2 linked regions of the Oreochromis niloticus genome follow. Each later gene encodes a partner of the first gene's protein in a complex. Links are inferred from orthologs where the notes say so. Each region holds a gene or a part of one and is shown on either strand. Other genes may lie near its edges.

Evidence for each region.
Region 2: the proteins of cstf3 (region 1) and cstf1 are in contact, whole or in part, in a crystal structure (PDB 6B3X), measured with the Homo sapiens proteins. The link is inferred for Oreochromis niloticus from reciprocal best matches to the Homo sapiens genes CSTF3 and CSTF1. Residues at the interface, in NP_001317.1 of Homo sapiens: Tyr581, Pro582, Lys583, Pro584, Asp585, Thr586, Gln588, Met589, Ile590, Pro591, Phe592, Pro594; in NP_001028693.1 of Homo sapiens: Arg118, Glu216, Ala217, His226, Pro227, Ser228, Asp230, Phe231, Thr240, Arg242, Leu243, Tyr244, Cys251, Phe252, Val253, Ser254, Cys255, Tyr270, Ser272, Ser273, Ala274, Asn275, Gly291, Val292, Ser293, Asn294.

The regions. Positions count from the first base shown.
Region 1 is NC_031965.2:24,188,217-24,200,835, forward strand, and holds the start of cstf3 (cleavage stimulation factor subunit 3), read left to right. Parts: upstream 1-6,669; 5' UTR 6,670-6,885; coding exon 6,886-6,912; intron 6,913-7,517; coding exon 7,518-7,622; intron 7,623-7,793; coding exon 7,794-7,889; intron 7,890-12,619. UniProt on the Homo sapiens protein: One of the multiple factors required for polyadenylation and 3'-end cleavage of mammalian pre-mRNAs.
Region 2 is NC_031970.2:37,106,438-37,118,205, reverse strand, and holds the start of cstf1 (cleavage stimulation factor subunit 1), read right to left. Parts: upstream 4,789-11,768; 5' UTR 4,638-4,788; exon of another isoform or gene 4,591-4,637; intron 4,281-4,590; 5' UTR 4,265-4,280; coding exon 4,096-4,264; intron 3,163-4,095; coding exon 2,885-3,162; intron 2,802-2,884; coding exon 2,604-2,801; intron 2,509-2,603; coding exon 2,118-2,508; intron 1-2,117. UniProt on the Homo sapiens protein: One of the multiple factors required for polyadenylation and 3'-end cleavage of mammalian pre-mRNAs. May be responsible for the interaction of CSTF with other factors to form a stable complex on the pre-mRNA.

The sequences.
Region 1 (12,619 bases):
ATATTTTTTTTTTTCCACAGCTATCATTTCCTCTCCTGAGTATTATTTTTATTCTTTATCATCAGATAAGAACAGAAATGGTGCAGCTTAACATCGAGTGGCACTAATGATTTTATTTTTAATAACGATGCAGCTTAGCACACCTCAACAATCATGTAAACATAAAGTGCTGCAGGAAGAGAATTAGGAACTATACACACTATTTGTGGCTGTGCGTTGCTCGGGCCTATGCCAGATCACACCATTAGCAACAGTAGCAGCATAAATTCTTCTGTGCTTTAAAAATGTTGTATTGCGATATCGTTGCTATACCAATGCCATGGATTTGCATTCCCTAGGGCACACAACAATGAGAAAAGTTTGGATAAGACACGATGAACGCATTTCACCACTTTAGACAAAAACACACCAACAAGTACAGCCAGGCTATGACAGAGGAGATGCTAGCAGTTGATGATGTGCAACCCAAATATAAACAAATATAACGGCACTCAATACAACAGAGAGACCAAGCAGTGGCTGGTAATTACTGATGCAAGTACACAGTGGGAAAAAAAGGGCTTTAAGCAGCTTTAAGCTTGACCCACAATCTAAAATACCAGGGAGCAAATATTTTTCAGTTTTATTAAGTACAGGCTCCTGGCAAGTTAAAAGGCTAAATTATTTTAATTATTTTATATTGTTATATAATTATTATAAGTGTTAAGCAGTCTTTTTATGCACTTACTTAAAATTTCCAATTGGAAAAAAAAAAAAAAGTTCAATAACTTTGTTCCCTATATTGTCACAAATTTTCTTAAAAATTGCAATAGAATTTTAGGACTATATCACCGACCTCTAGTGTGGCTGTTTGTCATATAGCATATCAAAACATCATTCACACATTCTGTTAGGAAGCTCTGCTTACTGTACCAAACTCAAAACAAAAAAAAGAAGAAAAAAATCATTTTATATATAAATATTTCACTAAATCAGCTACAGTTTTTAAACAAAAGTGAACCATATCATCTTTTTATTCCAGTGGGGAACAGTGTAACACCAAGCATAAACACCAGTCCTCTTCAAAACACACGATTCAACTCTGATGACTAATGATAAACAATAATCATATTTATTATTAATTGGCAGAAAATGGCAACGTTTAATCCCTAGTGTCTTTTTCCTCCATCTTGACATACTGATGTTAAACAACAGTCTTTTTTAAAAACACTTTTTCAAGCAGTTGCATTTCTTGCCAGATGTGCTACCGGCTGTTGTAACAAAAGAATTTCCCAAATATTAGATAAAGTATTTCTTATTCTTAAGACCAACTTTAAAGAACAAACTCACTTTGGCTACTTTTTACCAAACAGGACCCAGAATATGAATGTTTATGCATGAAACAAAAACAGACATGTTCTCATCAGATGATGAAGGTAAATACAGACTGTCATTGTGGAAATAAAAACACCTATTTTCAACCCACCCAACTTTCTGCTTTTGCCATGTAGCCTTGAGAATTAAACAGTCATTGCTGTTTTAAATTGCAGGCCTACAACCTCACGGCACAGTGTGGTGCTGTGTCTCGTGAACTTGATCTTGTATGCTCATTAGATAAAAAGCCTCTATTTCCTAAAGCATGTGACCTCATGATTTTTCAACTGTGAACTTATGACTATCATTTAGCAGTCTTCTTGTTGAAATAGCTCCAGTTTGTAGGCAATGTGCAGTATAGTTAGCTATTACGCTGAAGAGATTAATTATGGTGACAATTACAGAGAAATCCCCCTTCAAGAAAAAAATAAAAAAAATAAACAAAAAGATTCAAGAGCATGTAAAAAGCTCAAAGTTAAAACGGGCCGCATACAACTACAAGAGCTAATCAGGTTTACTCAAGACAATGCTTAGAAGTCTGTCAAACGCACTGCAGCATTTTCAAAAGTTCAAAACAGCACCGGGTGTATTTTAAATGGGAACTATGTAAATCTGCAAATAAGGAGCGCACAAAATCAGACACACAAGCGTCACAGAAAATCCAGGTGATTTTCCGAAATGAAAGATCCTGTGCAGACTAAACATTTCACTTCTGACATGATTCTGGTGAAATATGATTCTGCAAAGTACAGAATAAAACAATGTACATGACTTACATCATAGAAAAACACCAGTGTATTCCTGAAGTAGTGCTGGGTTTAAAAAATAAATAAAAAGCTCAATACAAACATCTGTCTTGAGTCATTGAGTCTGTCTTGTATTCTATACTGCAAATGTAATGGAGTTTGTCTTGTTTTTCCATAATGGAGTTATAATGAGATTTTCCCCATTTTTTCCATTCACTTCATTCATTCTCTTAAAAATTAACCACTGCCTTATTGCATCTTGTGAACTAAGTTACACAACAAAATACTACCGACAAAAATAAGAATTTACTTCAATCAGGTAATGATTTATCATAGCCACCCACAAGGTCTTACACTCATTAAGCCATTAGAGACTAGCAGAGTGAGTTATTTTACCTCTCCACTTTCTGAACAAAAGCAACTGAAATGTAAATAAAATCCAGGTTTTGACCAGATCACTGGTAATTACCCCCTGTGAGCTGTAATAGATGTTTACTTTTTGAGATAGCACACAGTTACCACCCAACACTTCTGCAATTCAGTCTAAATCACAGCTTCTTCTTGTCACGGTGGTCTCTTACGTACACTCTCAATCACTCCGTTTTGTTTACTACCTCATGTCTGTACCCACACCTCAAGATAAAATCACCCACAAACCGGTCTTTAAGCTGGCCACAATGCAAAACAGATAACCAGTTGCCCCAAGTTTAGTAGATATGTGCAGTCATTATTATTACTCACCAACCAAAATTGCTCACTAATACCAATTACTTTAAGGTAAACCACTAGTTACGTTATTTACTGGCCTGACTTTCGTCTGTCATTACTGCCATCATTGCCACCCACAGCCATGCATTAGTGGTCTTTCTATGCTACTGATAACGTGAAGAACACAGACATAATCAGCAGAAAAGAGTATCTAGGGGAGAAAAAAAATTCACAAAATAATAGCAGTGCAGTGCTGAACTTTACTCTGAGTGTCACAAGCGCTCACTGGTAGTAACGTCAACAAGGTATTATAATAGGCTGTGAAACCTGAATACTAGTTTATCTAAGCTACTCATAACCAAATGAGCAACACATTACTGGACAGTCTCTTGATGCTATTTACATCAGACAAGGGTTACTGGTAATGTAAAAAGAAAAAGAAAAAAACTGTAAGGCAGGGAAAGTACATTAGCTTTACAAGCCACAGTCTGGGTATTGAATTTCTCTGAGTTTTAAAAGGAGAAGGAACCTCACTATGGCTGCCGCCACATAAATAGCTGGCTGTTCAAATAATCTTGCCTACAATTACACAGCACGCTTTAATTTTGCTGGATCACACAAAGGAACTCACTTATACGTCCTAATCTTTATATTTAACACAAAACCACCACAGTCAATGCGGCAAAACACCAAGCAGATCATTACAGATATACTGTATGATTAACTTGATACTTTGGGTTCTTAAACCTTTTTTCTTCCAACGTGTTTATGCCTGCTGACAAAAACAGCTTCATATTTTTGGTCCAGGAAAACTCAAGTCTGGGTGCACTTCAATGAGCTGTTGTTAGTATTCTAACCTGAAAGAGGGTTTCTAGATCATCATTACCGAAAAACATAAACGTCTGAAAATGACAGAGACACTTCAAATGCTTCATCACAATTAGACTTCCAGTTAACTACAATTTAACAACACGTGGCACTGCCATACATCTGGCACAAATTTAAACCAAAAAGTATGACTGAGTTGTACATAAGGTCTGCTTATTTTTGTCATGCCTGATTATGATAAAGTATTAACATTATGCGACAATCTTTGACTAGCATATGTTAACTGACTCACAGGCGAAACCCAATGTAACCTTAACTAACACAGCACTCACTATTTAAGTCACACGATCCTTATCGTCCATTTAGAGTTAGTTAACATTAGAACAAGCGATTGTAGTTTCCAAAGCTAAACGAGCCGACCTTGTTAAAATAAATCAACTGGTCGCCGTGACAACACTGAAAAGAGCAAACGCGTCAGTGTTGGCACTCACGCTAATAATTTGCACATAGTAACACCGCAGTTTGACTAAAAGAGAAAATTAATTCAGGTTTAATCAATCAAATATCCAAAGTGCTGGGGGAAGTACCTGCGCACGAACCGAATGCTTACATATTGGGTTATAAAGGCAAAAGCTCGCTAGCTAAGTTTGTAGCTAAGTTGTCACTTAGTATTGCGTCACATTTAGACTACCATTTCAAAGGTAAGGCTAAATAAACACCACAGAAAAATAGCCTTCCCACCACCCCGCTGCTTACCTTCACATAGAGTCACTATAAGTATAATCCAGGGCTTCTCTGAACATGTTATGGACTTATAAATCCATACCATGTACAGTTCGCCTGCATTGCTGCCATCTTGTCCTAGACGACAGGAAGGGAGAGCTCGCTCTCGGTAACGCCACCATCTCCCACATTTTAAACACTAAATAACTCTTGCATATGAGCTTCCAGAAACACCACACCGAACCCACGTCGTAGCTACACAATTCAAACGCGTCTCCGTCTTCTTTGGGCAGCGTTGCCCATCTCTGTAAAGGGTGTCCGTTACCCTGTCTAGACGCACCGTTCCGCGGGCCTGCCAGCCTCTAACATGTCTCTTTTCTCTAGGAACTGGAAGCGAATGTTTGCGAACTGACGGCATTGGCCAGTCCAGATTAAATGATTACAGAGCAGGTGCAAAGATGGGGGATTCACTGGTTCGTTTCTGGGAAGTCGGTTAGACAGAAAACAGTACACTACAATGGGGAGCTTTTTTTCATAAAAAGAAATAAGGTTTACTGAAAATTACTGACAACATACACGATAAAGACAAAGGTGTTGCGAAGGATGAGAGGAACAAAAGAATGAACACAGAGATGTAGCTTACATTTGAAGTATAATAAAACACAGGTAAAGTGTTAATGCAATACTACAGTCCCTTTCAGGTTCTGCCAGGATGAGATGGATTTATAGCTAACATCAATGAATGTGAAATACAATTTGCAACTTTTGTTTTACATATATTCAGAATAATAACAATAAAGTTTGAATTGTTAATGTGATTGCTTCATGATTTATTCCTCTAGTAAAGTGTTAGCTGCATACTTTCTATAGCCTAGTAAAGTTAGAAGAAAATAATAAAAATAAAATATGAAAATGTACAATCCAAAAGCAGCAGCTTCCTCTTTTTAGCCACCCTTCTATCATGTGTTCTAAAAATAAGCTAGCTAGCACTTACTCTAGGCTTCACATTGACACAACCCTCAATGCCCCAGATAGAAGGTATTTGCTTAACCGATTGTCCTAGCACATCTTTATTCCACTCCTGACTCTCTCTCCCCCCCCCTTTCTTTTAGTTCTTTATTTATACTGCTCACCTGATCTGCTGTGAAAAGGCCACCAATAACAGTTTTTATTTTCTAATTCTGATCCTGGAAGAGATATGAAATCTAGATCAATATGATGAAAGGTAGGACTAGTGATTCCAAAAACATGCTGACCAGCCTTCTAAGGAAATCCAAGCTGAAATCTACTGCTCAGACAGTCAGGAGGCACCCAGCTGGCAAAAAAGCTGCCCATAAGCCCCTGGTGTCTGAGTCGACCAGCTATAATGTAATCCACCAAAAGGCATTTGTCTTTGTCAGTCCTCATCTGTCCTCACCCGAGTTACACACAACAAATCACAGAGCCTGCCCGGTCAGCTGGAAAACAGGTGTGAACACCTCTTGTCTAACTTGGTTTATCTTGGGTAAACACAGCTGGAATGATAATGGGGGTAATCAGAAGAACCCACATGTGCAGAAGGCCCCGTATAAATTCCTTTAGCACTGAAGACCGAACACGGCGTTGCTGTTGCTGAAATAGTTTGTATGGACGAAAAAAGAAGAAGAAAAAAGACAGCTGTCTACTCGTGAACTGGCTCCGTGGTCTTTTGCTTTGGTCTGCTTGGATTTTGCCAGACGGTTATATGAAAGTGCGCGCTCTCGATGGTTATCGTTTGTCTCCACCTATTGGCCAGTGAGGTGGCCAGCAGTCTGCAGCACAAAACAAGCTTTGTTTTACTGATTGACATATTTTCTGCAATTTCAGTAAACAACGAATTTTTTTAAAAAAAAAAAATTATTTATCTATTTTTATCTACACAAAAAGGATTAATAAGCCTAGGGTTTAAGGTACAAGTCAGTATTTGTACAGTGACTGACTACTAGAGGCCGCCTGTAGGTCAAAATTGCAACACGGGTTTGCAGTCGCATAGGAATCACCTGAGTGTACGTGCTTGGCATACATTAGCAGATGCACATCACAGTAAAACATAATTTACCAGGCACATTTAGAATTTCATGGTATTTTATTTTAAAAAAAGAATAAACTTGAAAAAATGCAAATAGACTGTAGTTTTAATCGTGTAAACCATCTTTCTTACAGAATATAGTGTACAGAACATACAATGTAACTTTAGATGAACTGCACTCAGAGGATGCAGGGCAAAGGGCACACTGTCAAACTCGCTTTCGTAGAGATCGGCGCTTTATTTTGAAGGTCTCGCGCCGGAACTGTTATTGTTGTTGCCACTGGCGGAGCGGAAAACGAGTTTCACGCCATTTTAAGACATCGGCGAGCCGTTGAGCGGCTAGTCGCTTGATGGCAATGTGATCGTCTTCTTTGAAGCTATGCCGATTACGAACTGTTTTTAAAAACGTGTCATCGCGTTATTCTTTGAGTGTTCACACAATTGATAAAGACATTTCTAACCTAGGTTACTCTTCCAGCCATGTCGACGGAGGCAACGGCCGAACAGGTAGCTACACGCAGCGGGTCAAGCTAACCCGTGCTACAAAGAATGCATGATTTACACCGTGTTATTTTGGATAATGTTAGAAAGTTGACAAAGCGGTAGCATTTGCTTATGTTTCGACTTATTCTACGTCGATTTTAGCTAGTACTAGTAGCAGATATGTATTTTGTTTGGGTTACGACTGAAAGCTGCAAGTTTAGCCCGCCGTTCGCCATATTGGATATAAGCGTTTGTAGTAAAGTCGCTACTTTACGCTTGTTGTTAAACCAGTTGAGTTTATTTAAACACTTTATAATCTACTAATACACATTAACCGAATGTGGTCTTAGTCGCGCCATGTAAAAGGAGTTAACTTGCCAGCTAATTGGACACCGTTCTGTATTTGTAATGTGAATTACCACCCAAATACTCGTAAATTTCTCTACCTTTCACTGCAGTGTGGTTGCCAGTTATTCTATTATTGACTACAATTGAGTACTAAACCTACTTATGTATGGTCTAAGCCTCAGGATGGGCCTGCCTTAGCACTTGGCCCTTAGATTAGTTGTTTCCCAGCACTATTCAGAGGCATAACTATGTTGTCCCTGTGCCTTTGTGCTGTCTTGCAGGCAGCAGCAGAATATATCCCTGAGAAGGTGAAGAAGGCAGAGAAGAAGTTGGAAGAAAATCCATATGACCTTGACGCATGGAGCATTCTGATTCGAGAAGCACAGGTTTAGTGACACAGAGTTGTATTCCTGGGGTTAAGGAAACTGGGGGATAAGGGTGGGTGGGCTCGGGTTACAAAATGTTAGAATACAAAGCAGCCATAAAATCTTTTCCTCCCATGACTGGTTTTTGATATGTTAAATAGTATGAGGTGTCAATGCATTTTCCTTCTTTAGAACCAACCCATAGACAAAGCAAGGAAGACATATGAGCGACTTGTCTCACAGTTCCCAAGTTCTGGCAGATTCTGGAAGCTATACATTGAAGCTGAGGTTAAGACTTTTCTTTTGTTTTTAATTTTATTTAGTGTGCATGGCTGGGATTTTTGTTTTTTCCTCACATGATCAACAATGTGATTTTCACACGACCAAAATGTCTTACTTTAATGACCAATAAAGTCGCAACTCTTATTTTGGATCGCTGAGCCTGCCTACTTCAGCTGGAACTATTGGTCCTAAATTTAGTAGTTTTCATTACAAGATTGCCATCAACAGTCACGATTAATGAGTGATTGAAAACTGAAGGACATGGATTGAACATGCGTGAAGAATGATGTGAAACACTTTATTTCCCAGGCTCTTGCTTGACTTCTTAAGAGTTGTGCCTTTTTAAAAATTCAAACAAAGGGGGAATTAGTTCTAACAGTATCTTTTCCACAAAATTCTTCTTATGTTCCCAGGATTTTAAAGTACACATTTTCTGCGCCATATTTTTAATGGGGTAAAGTGCATTTGTTGCATGTTTGGTCTGCAACAGTATTAAAACTATTTTAATAGTATTGGAGTGCATTAGCCTTTTATTCACTTGTTGTGTCAATTTATTGCCTCCTGTGTCATTTCTTTTGGGTAACTGTATAAAAACATTTTAACTGTGTGGCCCTTTCTTTCTCCCCACTCCTCCTGAAGACAAGTGACCCTATTGCCTCAATGCCATCAACAGGCTTCGCTGCTACTGATAGAATGACTTTTTATTCCCCCCTCCCCAAACAAATAATTTTTGCTAACCCAATAAAATAACCTTGATACCCTTCACCTTTGCAGAAGATGACTGCAACTGATTTTAAACCAATACTTTCCAAACGTTACACAGGAAGTTGCACCAAACCATCAGACTTTAGTTTCCAGTTAAAAGGCCACTCCTGCCTTCTGGAGACTTGCTACTTTTGTGCAGTGCACCGAATGTGGGTTTATTTGAGGTTATAGTGGCTGTAGTTGGCTGGTTGAGGGGGTTTCTTCCCTGTGTGAGGTTACATCACCCCCATGTGTCCACCCCTGGTCTTCACACACTGAAATACAGGGAGAGATGTGCAGCTACCTTTTCCAAACAGACTAGTCTTTTCAAAAACGACCAGTAGCAATTTCCTTTATTTGCATCAGTAATGCATAACTGTTAAAGTCCACACTTTTTAGTCCCTCTAAAAGTATCAACAGCAAGCTATTAGAGTTGTCTACTGTTACTGTTATTATTGGGTTATTGCTTGGTAATCTGCAGCAGACAAGCCAGAGGGTTAAAATAAAACAGTTGCATCTACACATCACTGGTGCCCTTTTGTTTTTTTGTTGTTTGTCTGGAAGCTTGACTCGTAAACAAAATATTTTAATTTAAAGTCACTTTGTTTAAAAAAAAAAAACCAAAAAAAAAAACCTTGAACATATGTGGTTTTTAACTTTAGATGTTTGCTTAGGATCCATTTTTTTTAAAGCAGGAAAGTAATTATAAATCTTAAACGAATAGGAGATACACCATCTACTGTCAGCTTTAAACAAAGCTGTGGACCTACAGAAGACATGGCTGTAGACTGAATTTTTTTTTTTCCCTATACATAATATTAGCATTTACAATAAAATGCAAAGCAAATAAAATGTAAAGAGTACTGACATTACAAAATTTTGCGTTTCAAGTAAAGTAAGCTTTTACTGTGTGTAGTTTAGAGGTCAGCTGGTAGCAACAGAAGAAGGCAGGGAAGCACTGTAAGCAAGTGTCAGATTTGTTATATGGATAAGCATACTTGACTAATAAAGCTGATTTTTGAATCTGATCTTATACAATACTTTTAAAGGTGTTTTTTTTTTTTTTGTAAAGGGCAAATAGATTTTTTATTTTTTTTTAACCCCCACATTGTTTAGTCCTCTTTCCCCACCACACAGTTAATTCCAAAATCCCAAACCCAGTTTTTATTCTGGCACATTTGCATTGAGCTTTCTGTTAGCTGAAATAGCAGTCAAATAACTAAAACAGACAAAGGTTTTTTCCCCCAGCAACACAAGGCCTTTGTATACTATCGTAGTTTGATGTATGTGTTAGTAATATATGTATTTTTTTTTTATTTTTTTTTATGTTAGTGTAGAAAGAAAGTCTGTCTGGTAAGTATGTGGGGGATGATCTCAACTTTAAAAAAAATTAAAGAGTTAAGTAGTCGGAAATCCTCATAGTGTTCTTCACTTAAAGTTGATGCAAAATTCTTTCCACTGTTCTGTGTGTTAGGCACATTTTCTAAAGGCCTCGTTTGCTCTGTGCAGATCATAGCATGTCTTCTTCATAACTCACCACTTTTGAAGACCTAGTTTTAGAGACCACAGCTCAGTTGGGTTGAGGCAGCACACTGATCAAAATACAAAGTTGTGTCCGATTAATATAGGCACTGTATAGTGAGACTAACCAGCTGTTTTTAACTGTTAGACTGAGGTTTATCTATATTTTGTACCCTTACTAAAATATTTTACATGCAGTTTGTAAGAAGAGCTTAATGGGGCTAACTTACTTTGGGCTTCCTTCAGGGTGCATTAACTTTACTTGATTGTTTGAGTTAAACAGTATGAGCAGCCTGTGCTTTGATGGATAAAGATGTTTTGAGAGGGAACAACAGGGAAAAGTGTGCCTACGTTTGTTAAGTTCGTGTCTTGTTTTCTCTCAGAGTGGATCCTCCTGTATAACCTTTATGACAATGGGAACTAAATGCAGTTGAGCTACTGTGTATTCACATATGAATTGCAGATTTGCGCTACCTTAACAGCTGTGTTGAAAGATGGCAGCCAGTACTGTATTCATTTGTTGGATGGTGGACCTCAAAAATTGGAAACTTAGAAAATCCGCACTCATAAATTAGGACCGTTTTGATTGCATTTCTCAGAAACTAGGTCACCCCAAGGAAAGTTCAGTGTAGTTATCTTCAACAAATAGTGAAGAAGTTGCATTTTATTTTTTTAAATAGAAATTATGGGGCTTTACTAATCTTCTGCCTTGAAGGGCTTTCTCTACTTTAAGCTGTTTGTATAATTATATTCATGTTTTTCTTGTGAGCTTTCCATTTTTTTCAGTTAAAGTAAGCTGATAGTAAGCTTTAAAGCATTAACAAAAAGGTGTGCTGCAGCACGTCATCTCAAGTAGAATTTTGTGCTTGAAGTGATTATGCAACCTAGTGCGAAAAGGGATGTGGCATGTTAGATATCAGGAGCTTTTCTGCAACCACCTAGGCAGATACATCCAAACAAAACATCACTGCAGTGTAATTTGTGCACATTATGTAACTTCTCTGTTCCAGTATTACACACAAACAGGATTTGCATCAGCTCTAGTAAAAGCTTTTGTGACAAGGCTACCTGTGATTCTCTCACACTTAACCCTTTCAGCAAGTAACCCACCCAAATACACTACATTTTAGAAAGCTTAGACATTCTAGTATTAAATCTTATGCCATTTCTATTCCTATGTCAAAACTTGCTTAAATAACTCAAGTTTTACTTTAATGGCCAGCTTAATAATTTTGTAAAGAGTTTATGATCTTAGGTTCCACTGCCTTGGTACATCATTTTTTTTAATCAACAAAGTACAGTGTTTGGTGATAAAGGTTTTTTAACTTGAATATTTCATCAAAATCTGATGTGATATAAGTGTCCCCTAGATTTTTATTGTGTTTTTTTGAGCAGCATTTACATTCGAAGAAAAGTTTTGTGGCATGCAAAAGTTGCAGCACACCTTTGCAACTTTTCCTTATATTCTAAAGAGTATTTAACAGTATTTATTTATCTTCATATTTTTCGGAGTTCAGTTTTACTCGGTGACGCCCAGTAACAGAGGTTTTGAAGAGTTGTTCAAAGATTTACATGTCACTGTATTCTTCCTCTTTTATTATTAAAGGTTTACTGGTGCTTTATGTCTGGGTTTGTTGTTCTTTTTTTTTTTTAAAGAGTAGGAAGTGTAGGTTATTTCTTAAGCACCTTAAGACATTTCCTAATGACTGAAAAAAATTGAAAATTGAGTTCCACCGTTAATTAATTGTAGTTGACCTTGAAACTTTTTTTGCTATGTTAATGTTATTCTTTTAGGTCTAAAATTGCATTTGTACATACCAGTGCAGTTACATTGGGCCTTACAGCCATAGGAACGTTGCAGTCTTAGTATTTTTGTTTAATAGGTCGCACAAAAACAAGTAGTTTAGAATTTGGTCTACATTTCTGTGTAAATATTAACATTAATCTGTAAACTGTCTAAGCTGCAGTGTCAGGACATTGTTAATAATTTCATGACATCTCTGACATTTTACATATTTAAGCGTCCTTAAGTGCAGTTCATGTTATAGCAGTGACCCGTGCTTTGTCAGTGTAGCCATGCAAAGTATTGTTTTTGTCACCATAAGCCTAATTCATCACCCCCCCCCCCCCCCCCCCCCAAACATTTTTCACATGTTTATTATTGCACTATGGATAAAATGGATGTGCTTAAAATTTTCTACAGTGCTTATGCCACAGAAATAACAGCCTTACCTCTACATACTAATGGATCAAGCACACCTGAGGCTTTGAGCTATGTGGAAAAAGGCCTTTTTTTTTTTTTTCTCTGAATGCTGGATTTCTCAGCCTGAAGTCCAATTTCAGTATTTTTCCTGGGTAATGTGGCGCAACTACAGTGAAAATAAACCCCTTTCTAAAAGTAGTTTGTCATTCTTGTGTGAATTTCACTTTGTTGATCTTTGAGGTCGTGTGTGTGCGTGCGTTTGTGAATG
Region 2 (11,768 bases), on another chromosome or scaffold:
TGACCATTTGGAGAATAAATATATAGTTTCAGTAACAGCTGTGAATAGCAGTGAGCATCCAAGGCCTTTGGATCTCATCCAGTATAACTGTTGATAACATAACGATATAAAGTGTGTGGCGTGAAGTCAGAGAGAGTGCCAGGGTTGCACTTCACAGCATCAATAAACACACTCAGAGGGAGTAAGTTAACATCCATCTTCAGCCCTCCCTTTCCTGATTTTTCCACATAACGAGAATATACATTTGTTTGTTTACTTATAACTGCCATAGTTTATCTCATCTCCATGACGTTTAGTACTCGCTTGACATGTTACATATCTAAAATGGTTGGGAAGTGATAAGGGGTCACGTGCCTGCAAAACCTCTATAGATGAGATATTTATAACATCGTGCAGATGGTATCTGCAGAGTGTGTTGAGACGAGAGAAATGACAAGTACAGTGAGGAGATGCAGAAATATAAAGGGTCGTGTGTGCAGATAGCAGTGTTGCAGCATGAACTGTTGCACATATGGAAGAGTTTTACACATATTAAGAGTTTGAGACGCCACTTCTAAAAAACTATTTAGTTTTTTCTTCCCTAATCTGCCATTTTTATTGATTTGAAAGTCCATGCACACTTGCTCACTTCCACTGACTGTGGCTCTACTGTAACATTATATAGTTCCCATGCTACAATACTGCTACCATAAGTGGTTTGTCTCTTTCAGAGCATTACACACGTCATAAAACTGTAGAATAACACGTGAAATTTACAAAGCGATGTGGACCATGTGACAAAGTGACAAACGAGCACCCAGGTTAAGTCCATTCAGCTCATATTTGTGTCATTTTAGTGGCTCTCCTGTAACTGCAGCTCATTCCTCTGGTTTTTACAGTGTTGAGCTGAGAAGTGAGCACCACGTCTCTTTTTTTCTGTGTATTATTTCCTTCTGATTTGTTTAATTAAACACTATTAAATGTGTTTCATTATCATAAAAAAATTAAAAGACGGACAAAATGGCATCATAAGTGATTTTTTTTAAACTAAGGCGACCTCTAGTGCTGACTGACAAATAGGATCCTTACTACCACTGCATTATGATCATGCTTGATGGAGACGTTACAATACAGTGCCTAAAAGCTGATAAATAGGAGTAAAAAACATTTTTACTCAAGCATGGCACACTAACACATGATTTATCAAGATGAAACACTGCATATATCCATTTAGGTATCTTAAGGGAAAAATGCAAAACATAACACTCTGGATGTTCTCCTCCACACACGCGCACACGCACACACACACAATGTGGGAGAAAGCGCATTTTAAAGCTCCTTACTGTAAGTGCGATCCAACCTCTGTAATTTAAATCCTAATAAGAATTTTTAATCAAACCACCCGTTCAGTAGCTGGAGAACAGTAAGCTTTGCCACTGCTTCCATCCACAGCACAGTTATGAAACTAAAAATTAAAAATCATTAGAAAAAAACAACACAGGGACGGCAAACACATGATCCACATGAAATCCTGTTCAATAGTGCCAATATGATACACAATCGTGTGTGAAATATAGAAATATACATGCTGAGTAACATCGCAATGTGTTAACAGCTGGGCTTCAGTCAGGAGCTGTGTGTGCTGTGTGGATGCTTTCAGTTTTGTTTTTTTTAAGTTTTATTTCTGCGCTGGACTAAAAAAAGAAATGACGTCCATGCTGAAGGTTGTAGAGGTCTGACTCCTCGTGCCAAATAAACTTTTGTTAAAACAGCCAAAGAGCAGATTTTTTTAGTTGGTTAGTTTGTGTTGTTTTACTTTATTTCTTGCATTTTTTTTCTCTTTTAATATTCTTTACACTCGTGACAGAAACAATACATTTCTATAAACTACATTTCTGGTCATATGTCTCAGCATGAACAGCTAATATGCACACTAGATAAATGTAATGCTTGAGTCATGTTATCATTATGGTGTTGGAATTTTAAATATGAATATGCCATAAACTTGTTATAACATTTATTTTGTATAGATTTTAAATGTTGCAAGTAGCTCACTGTAGGTAAGTTCTGCGTCAGCAAACCTGTGACTGTGAATGCTTCAACTGTCATAGTTTAGAATAACAGCAAATCCTCCCTACCTGTGTACTTGACCAGAGTCCGGCCTGTTGAGATCTCCCAAAGTTTGACCACCGAGTCTTTCCCACTGGACAGGATGTACTTGGAGTTCTTGGAGAAGATGGCGGAGCACACCTCCGCTCCGTCGTGTGCCTTCTCGAAGGTCGTCACGCAGCGGTTAGAGACACCGTCCCACAGTTTGATGCTGCCGTCCTTGCTGCAGGTGACATAGCTATTAGCTGTGGGGTTGTAGCTGACCCCGCTGATGGTGTCTGTGTGCTGGTCCAGTGGGTTGCAAGACACAAAGCACTGGAAAGTGTTGACGTCATAGAGGCGCAGGGTGGGGTGCTGCGTCCCCACTAGCAGGAAGTCACCTGAGGGGTGGAAGGAGATTGAACGCAGCATTTCTGCTTCCTGTGGGTAAATCGATAAGGCGACAACTGGATTACAAAGATTTGCATTTATATACATCAGCTTTGTCACTTTGGATTGTAAACAATTCATCTGACCTGTATATATTTAAAGGCTCTTTTTGCAGAGGGCTTGGAGTAGTCAAACAGTTTGAGGGTGTAATCTCTGGAGCCAGATGCCAGAATCTGTTCGGTGGGATGGAAGGCGAGGCAGGTGACTTCATCGACGTGGTCGTACAGCGTCCGAATCACAGGGTGATTCTCCATGTTTTGCTGCGCCGTCTCATTCATCATCACCTGATGTATGTGGAAATGAAAAAAAATGTCAGTGCACTGGCTTAAAAACATCCAGCATGCCTGTGCTGTTTGAGCTGCCTCACCTCAATGGGCATGGCACTCTTCGCCAGCATGCGCTCAGTATCCAGGATCTTGATGGAGGCGTCAGCGGAGCCTGTAGCGATCAGCTGACCATCTCGACTGTATGTAGCAACGCGGCAAGGGCCCTTGTGAGATGTGACGTAGCAGGTCTCATACTCTGACGCCTCTGGAGACATGGTCTGGACGTCTGCGTCAAATTCCAGATCGATGCCAACACCCGGGGCTACAGTATCTGAGCGACCGATCGCATACTGAACGGCACTATCGTCATTTTCCATCCCTGTAATGGATTGTAGGTTGTAGTTAGGATCTGAAGACATACAGTACCAAAACCAAGATGTGGATGAAACAACTGGGACAAAGGCCTGAGAATCTGAGATTTTAACCCCAGATAGAGGAGATTAGATAACTAGATAGACAGAATAAATAAAACCAGTAAAAGTAGCACCAGTAGAAGACTTAAAAAATCTGCCCTAAAAGAAAGTCATTCACTCTATAATCAGTTATGTTTTTCTTTTTAAAGCTGTTTTAGTGTGTTCGGTCTGAGCTTTATAGTCCTGAATTTTTGTCCTAAGGGCAGAGGGGGAAAAGACGGTGTCCAGGGCGAACTGCAGCCATTACGACACAGCTGACTTTTTAGCACATGTTTTGTGCATATGTCAGTCAGAGGTGGCAGACTGGAGCTAACCTAGCCTAGCCTAGCAGGAAAAATAGGAGGAAGCTAAAAGCAAAAGGTCAGCAGTTTGGAGGCGTTTCACACTGCCACGTCTACTACGTCAGCCTCTTTTCATATGTTTGCAAAAGCTTTAACTTAGCTGGAAACTGTGGTTATGCCACATGAGTGTTTGTGAGGATGCAAAAGAAAATTCTTCAACTGTAAATGATGCTGCAGTATGGCGCACACTAATGACTCTCACTTTCAGTCAAATAAGACCAGTGCAAACAAGCAACACATGCATAGCAGAGAAGTAGAGAAGAGTGTGACTGATAGATGATCCCAAAAGTCTTACTGAGGTGAAGTGAAAGAGTGCATTCTTCAAGCAAGACAGAATTTAGCATTATTTGTTTCACTTCAAAAACAGCTCGTCTTATAATTGAAGCAAAAGCTATGAAGTCGGTGTCGGCTGTTTGTTTTAATTGCACAAAATACTTTTAGGTATCCTCCACCCCAAGATGCTGTTTTTCAAGATCAGAAGAAGGTCTCAACTCTTACCTATCTTTGCCAGCTGCATGAGCTGCTCAGAGGGAGACACAACGCTCTGTGGCTTCACCTCATTGATGAGACTGTTGGCGATGCTAGTGTATCCATCGTAGAGCAGCTGGCTGATGATAAGCTTGTACAGGTGCTGTCGGTCCTTCAGAGTCGGTTTGGGACGAAACATGTTGGGTCACTGTCACCTAAACCGGGTCGTAAATAGTGACAACTGTGTGAACTAAAGTGGAAAACAAAATGTCAACAACCTGCCCCAGGTCTATATTAGCGGATTAGGTTAATGTCAAATCACAATACTAGCGAACACCGTTAGCTGTAGGTATGCTAACAGTGTGGCAGTTATAAGGAATGAATGAATGTGTTAGCCTTGCAGCTAACAACGTTAGCTTTGTTGCTACAGCAATTACAGAACTAAAAAAGAACAATGTGTTAATTGGGAACCATGAGCGTGTGCATTGTCCAAAAGAAGCGGTATATGCTACTTAACAACATAACTTTAAAAATTTTCTGTTTTTAACACTGAAACACATGAAACATCCAACCCTCTTAAAAGTTCCAAGTGCGCTTCTTGATCCGAACGTCCGTTACGTACTGCGTATTTTACGCACTACGTCACCATACAGAAAAACGTAATATCCGCGTGATGCGTTTCTGGAGCCGCCATCTTGCTCAGGGGCTCTGGCTAAGGTTTTGGCCTATTCCGATACAAAATGCCACCCTTTATGCCGCTTTTTGTTGTTCAAATGAAAATAATAATAGAATAACGTTTAGCTAGTCAAAGCCGTTTAATCTGATACATCACAGTTAGAAATCCTTTTAAGCTAATGGTTTATTGACCCCTGAAACCAAATGAAGGTAATGCTGATTAGAATAAGTTAAATAAAAAAGAACATGTAATGTATTGAAAAGATGTTGAAAATTAAGTTTGTCAGTTTACTATATCTGACATTGTGCCCTAAATTATTTAAATCAGCACATTGTAAAATATTTCTCATTTCACTAATGCCTTATACATTAACAGTTATTTATACCCCAAACCCCGTTTTTAATAGACAAAGATCCTTTTGGGGTTGCATCAGAAAGTCGTGGTATAGGTTTTAGATGGACTTGTGTGACGATTCTCAAAGAAGACATTTGTGGATAGAAGCCAGTGAAAAAAAAAGTTTATGCCAAACAATGGGTCATTTTAAGTCTGACAGTAATCTTGCATTTTAAAGTCAGTTTGTACAGCAGAATTTCACAAATTCATCTGCAGAACTGATACATTTTAAACATTATAAATGGTAAATGGCCTGTATTTATATAGCGCTTTACTAGTCCCTAAGGACCCCAAAGCGCTTTACATATCCAGTCATCCACCCATTCACGCACACATTCACACACTGGTGATGGCAAGCTACATTGTAGTCACAGCCACCCTGGGGCGCACTGACAGAGGCGAGGCTGCCGGACACTGGCGCCACCGGGCCCTCTGACCACCACCAGTTTACACAAATATTTTAAGACAGTAAGACGGGGGTAATAGTGACAGATGGTTTCAAGGTGGGGTGGGATTATATCAGGGATTGATCCACATCCTAACTGTTTGAAGTGCTGATGGACAGGCTGACAGATGAGGTCAGGCAGGAGTCTCAGTGGATTATGATGTTTGCAGATGACATCATGATCTATAGTGAGAGCAGGTGGAAGAGAGCCTGAAGAGCTCTTCTGGAGAGAAGAGGATTGAAAGTCAGTAGAAACAAGACAGAATACATGTGTATGAATGAGGGGGAGACAGATAGAAAGATGAGCATACAAAGGGTAGAGGTAGTGAATTTTGATGAGTTTAAATACCTGGGTTCAACCATCCAAAGCAACAGACAGTACACAAGTGAGGTGAAGAAAAAAAGAGTGTAGGCAGGGTGGAGTCAGTAGAGACGAGTGTCAGAGGTGATTTGTGACAGAGGAATAGCAGCAAGACTGAAAGGAAATATTTACAAGATTAGCTGCTGTTATGTGTGGTTTGGAGACAGTTACACTAACAGCAGGACAGGAGGTGGAGGTGGCAGAGTTGGGTATATCAAAGGGACGGCTCAGGTTGAGCAGTCTGGGGGCAAAGTTAGAGAAGCAAGACAGACGGTTTGGACATGTGCAGAGGAGGGATAATGGATATCGGATGAAAAGAGGAAGACCTGAGAGGAGTTTAATGGATGTAGTGAAGGAGGACATTCAGAGGGTTGGTGTGAGAAAGGGAGCAGCCAGAGGAGAAAATATCATTACAACCAATAGCAAAATTGGTAAGTAAAATGAAATATTGCAAAAACAACAAAGCAGAATTTTAAAAGGCAATCAAAAGTTATAGTACTTATATTGCTTCTGAATGTGCAAGTGAAGACCAGAGAGATGGTGATAGGCTTCAGAAGCACGTTTATAACATGTCTGTTTCTATTCTGGGACAGGATGTTGATGTGATGCAAGTACCTGGTGATCCACTCAGGCACCAGGCTGAACTGGACCATCAACACAGATGTTTTATACAAGAAACGGGTGAGCAGGCTGTATTTTCTAAGGAAGGTGAGATTCTTCCAAATTTGCAGTGAGATGAGATTTTCTGTCTCTAATTTGTGCTGGTATGCTGTGCTGGTGTGCTGGAGAGCAAGATCAAAGCTGGTGACACCAGGAAACTGGATAAACTGATTAGAAAAACTGGCTCTGTGATTGGCTGGCCGTGGTGGAGAAGAGGTTATCCATCATGGCTAATTCTGGCCGCCCTCTGCACCACTATAATAAAAACAACAACAACAACAACAATATTATTAACACAATTCTAACACTTTTAATGCAAATACGTTCTATTTATGCATTCAAGACTTTTTGTCACCCCTGATCCAGCAGAGGGTGCAAAAGAGCACCATCTCAGACACAAAGGGAAAGAAAAGAGTCAAATTTCGGATCACTTTCTGATTCTTTGATTAATGCTGGTTTGCAGTTTTTACACTGACAGGAGTGTCAGTGTTTGGCAGCTGGTTGTGAACAAGAGTGGGACATGAGGCTGCTGTGCTTTAGCTACTGAGAAGATGAACATGTAATTGGTTATAGGCCTGCAGCGACTCCCACCCACGTACACATGCACACACATTAATGCTCAGTTACCACTTCCTGTAATGTGGTTCATCACCGCTAGTGCTGGCCAAAAACAAAGAGCCAAAAATGCAGTGTAATACATACAGATTACACGGATGATGGTGGAAACCTGTTATGGAAAAGGTAGACCTTTTCAAATGACCCCCATCAAACACCGATGAAATAGGCTGAATATCTTGCAATGTAGGTACATTTTGAAGGAAGCCGATTGTTTTCTGTCATTTCTTGTATTGCTCCAGTGGTGGATGCTCATATTTAACAGGGTAAGAGCTTGAAATAATGAAATCGGTGCATGTATAATAAAGCTCAGAGTGAAGTCTGAGCTTCACACTGATCGAAACACTTTCTGACGGTTTTTTACTCTCTGTATGCTGTGAGAGGAGATATCCCTGATATTGTCAACTTAGGCACAAAGGTCATGCTGTGAGCACAAAAGCCCCACCTACCTGTTGTTCAGATCTTCCGTTTACAACCACTTAGAATTAAGCTGGCTTGAAGGGGGAGTGGGGCTGAAAATGTCTATTTAACGTTTTGTTGCACAACAACATTTTTTGTTATTGCTGTTGTTTCTAGAAGTATTTGGTACTACTGTGGTTATGCCAACATCCACGGTGTGACTCAGCATGTGTCAGACACTCCCAAGAGCAGCTGTACGCACATGGATAAAAGTCTACATTGCAACAAAACAACCATCTCTCTTAAACTATGTTGTGCGTCGGCAGCTGAGAGGCCAGCAGGAGCAGAAGGAACACGTTGTTTGTCTCTTGTCACTGCTGACCATCAGCTGTAAAACTCGACTCAACCTTGTATCCTAGTAACCTGAACAACACAGCCAAATAACAATTTATCAACATCATCAGACCTCTGCTGACTTTTTTTCAGCAGACTCCTGCACACATCCACACACTGTGATTTTGTTTCATCTGACTGGGGCTTTAAAACCATGCACTAAAACTGTGCTTCCGCCCTACAGGGCAGTGTGCAGACTGTAGAAAACATGCGTGGTAGGAGGTGTCTTGTTGCCATGTCGACACAAACCATGCTCTTAGCAGACCAGCCTCCAGTTGCCTTGGAGACTGGCTAGAGTCTGTGGCGGTGGAATGATAGAAAAACACTTTGTTTTTTAACAGCAGATGTCATCTGATAATTACACGGCTGATCCCACGTGATGACATCATGTTCAGAATATCAGCAGCAAGGATTTGACAGCAATATTAATGCATTTAAAGAAAGATTTTCATTAAAGGGGACCTGTTCTGCTAATTTCCAACTCCATCTTTCTGTTCTTGGACTGTATAAGACTCCCATTTAAAATAATAATAATAATGGATTGGATTTCATATAGCGCTTTACAATGCCACTATTCATTCACACACTGGTGGAGGCAGCTACAGTTGTAGCCACAGCTGCCCTGGGGCAGACTGACAGAGGCGAGGCTGCCATATCGCGCCATCGGCCCCTCTGGCCAACACCAGTAGGCGGTAGGGTAAAGTGTCTTGCCCAAGGACACAACGACCAGGACAGACAGCCCAGGGATCGAACCGGCGACCTTCCGGTTGCAGATACGCATCCCAACCCCCTTGAGCCACGGGGCGACTGTGGCTCAGGGGGCGACCTGCATGTGTCGCATGTGTCTTATAGCAGGCCTTAATGTAGTTTATATTATGTTATATATTATGAAACACGCCATTTTAGTTTCCCTTCCCACTTTGTTTAAGCCAACTTTGTTCTGGTTGGCTGCTTCTTGCAAACAGAATGTTTGAGTAGCTGGTGGGCGGGGCCCGAACTGGCAACATTAGAGATGTTTTTGGTTGCTTAAATATATATTAAGATACACATAGAGAAACTGAATATATATGTGTAGTCAATAGTTTTGTGTTAACAGTGGATTGATTTGCTTGTGTGTATTCATCGTCATAGTAACAAATTCATAAAAGGCCCAACACGGCCTGTAATTAAATACATGGACTGCATAGTCACTTTAAAGTACTTTTTGTAAAACTGGCCAGTAGACTCATAAAAATCTAATGCCTGAGAACAACTTAAAAATACAAAACAACATTAGTTTGTATTTTTATACTGAACTGGTTTAACTAAACCTAACCAAAGATACAGAACTGTAAAGTGAAGACAGAATAAAACAAAAGAGGACAAGTGAACAATCTTTAATAAAGGACAGTATTTAAGGATTTAAGGACTTATCCGATCACAGCATCCGATACTGTTTAAACAATATAAAACCATGAATTCAAATCACATGTATCAGTCTGGTCAGTTGCACCCTGTTATTTAGTGGGAAGTGAATTCAGATGTTTGTGCTGTCAGCATTCACAATACAAAAAAGGTTGTTGATATCTGATATCTGATATCTGGATGTTAAAAAATACTACACGTTACTCTGATTTTGTTCTCACCTGTCCACATTTAGTTTGTTTTTACCCACAATTGCAAAATTCCTTGCATCTATTTTTTTACCCATGTTTTTTGTGGTTAGCCCAGTTGCAGAGCACTGGCAGAACTAGTAAATACTTGCATGTACAGTGTGAACACATAAGCTGGCCATAAACATTTTTAAGGCAATATATATATATGTCTAAATAAATACTAATGTTAAAAAGTATAAATTATTTATTGTTAGGTCAAATGTTTGATTTGGTCCAAATGATGACTGGTCCGTAGTCTACCACTGTCATATCAGCTTTGTTAGGGAGTGTGGGAATACTGAAGGTTGTGTTAACATCATGTTGGACTGCTCCTTTAAAATGTAGTAAGCATCCAATCATCTCCATCATCTGGTGCCGTAGCTATGGTAACGACATTTTCTTGCTGTTAGCATAGGTACGGTAGTGTGAAGCCACCTGCGATGCATTTTGTCACCAACCCTGAAATTAATTATTCGAAATGCAGAAATAAATATAAATAAATAAATGTATAAAAGTGATGCATCCCAAATGAAAATTAATAGAAATTAAGGATGCATGTGTTAAGGGCAGGGCAGCACGGTGGCACGGTGGTTAGCACTGTTGCCTGAGTTCAATTCCACCATCAGGTCTTTCTGTGTGGAGTTTGCATGTTCTCCCCGTGTTTGCGTGGGTTCCCTCCGGGTACTCCGGCTTCCTCCCACCGTCCAAAGACATGCAGCTTGTGGGGATAGGTTAATTGGATAATCGAAATTGTCACTAGGTGTGAATGTGCGAGTGAATGTGAGCGTGAATGGTTGTCTGTCCCTGTGTGTTGGCCCTGCGACAGACTGGCGACCTGTCCAGGGTGTACCCCGCCTCTCGCCCTATGACTGCTGGGATAGGCTCCAGCGCCCCCCACGACCCTGAAAAGGATAAGCGGAAGCGGATGGATGTGTTAAGTCATAGTTTTGGCATTGTTAGTCTTCCATACTTATGTAGGAATTTGAAGGGTCGGTGTGCAGCCACAGGAAAAGAGCTATGATCTAATGTGTTGCTTGTTGTCTGAGTCTTTAACGATGGTAGAAAATTTCACCATTAGATATTTCTACTTGTTTTCCACTGCATTGTTTGAGAACAAACTCACCACATCCTATCTTTGCCAGTTTACTCTGGTTCAAGCTAAGGAGAGCTACTGCCAAAAATAACTCCTATGTCCTCACTATTTTCTGTCTGAAACAGATCAATACAGTCAACAATCTGTCTCTTAATATGCAGTCAGTCTCACCAAACCAGTAACAATATATGGAGCAAACCTATGGAGTCCAAAAGGAATAAACGAGCATTGCTTTACAAGCACGTGCATGTGAACTCATGTACTTCTGCACAATAATACATGCTGTCTGACGGGGGCTGTTGTTGGAGGAGGGAAATTCACTCCAACCTCTCACAACTCATCCATTTGTTCTATGCTTGAGAGAGTGAGAGCAGCACACGTGCAGCCAAGCAGCCACATCAACATTAGCTTTGCTGCACCCTTGTGTATGTGGGTGTATGAAATACGATGTGTGGGAGGAAGTAGGTGGGGGGCAGCGAGCATATAAGTGAACCAGGAGTCAGGTACTGCCTCAAACTGTTGACGGTAAAGTCAGTCATTCAGCCGCTGAAGGTAAGCTTGCCTTTGTCACTGCACTTCCTCTGTCCTAGCCCGTTGCTTTCACTTTGTTTTTTTCTGTCCAACTGTGTTAGCCTCGTATCCTTCCATCTGTGCTTAGGGCCTCACCGCTCATTCACTCCCGCTGATCTCTTTCTGTATAATCTATGTTTTCAACTTGTCCTCCGGAAGTCTTTGTTTGACAGTCACACACACCCACCCAGCCAGCCAGCCCTTCTCCTTCCCTCACTCCCCTCCTCTCTGCCTCACCACTTTCAGAGTGCATCTTCTCTCTCATTTGCATTTCTTCCGCTTCCTCGTGACAAGAAACAGTTCATGTCAAAGAGCCGTGAGAGAAGATCAGATTGGAGAGGTGCTAGATGGCAGAGCAACACGAAATGAGCAGGTACACAGAGGATGCACCGGTTCACTGTGAACGGCTGTTTAGACTGGATAATTATCACTGATTGGAGTGTAAAGCGAGACGGTAAGTGACT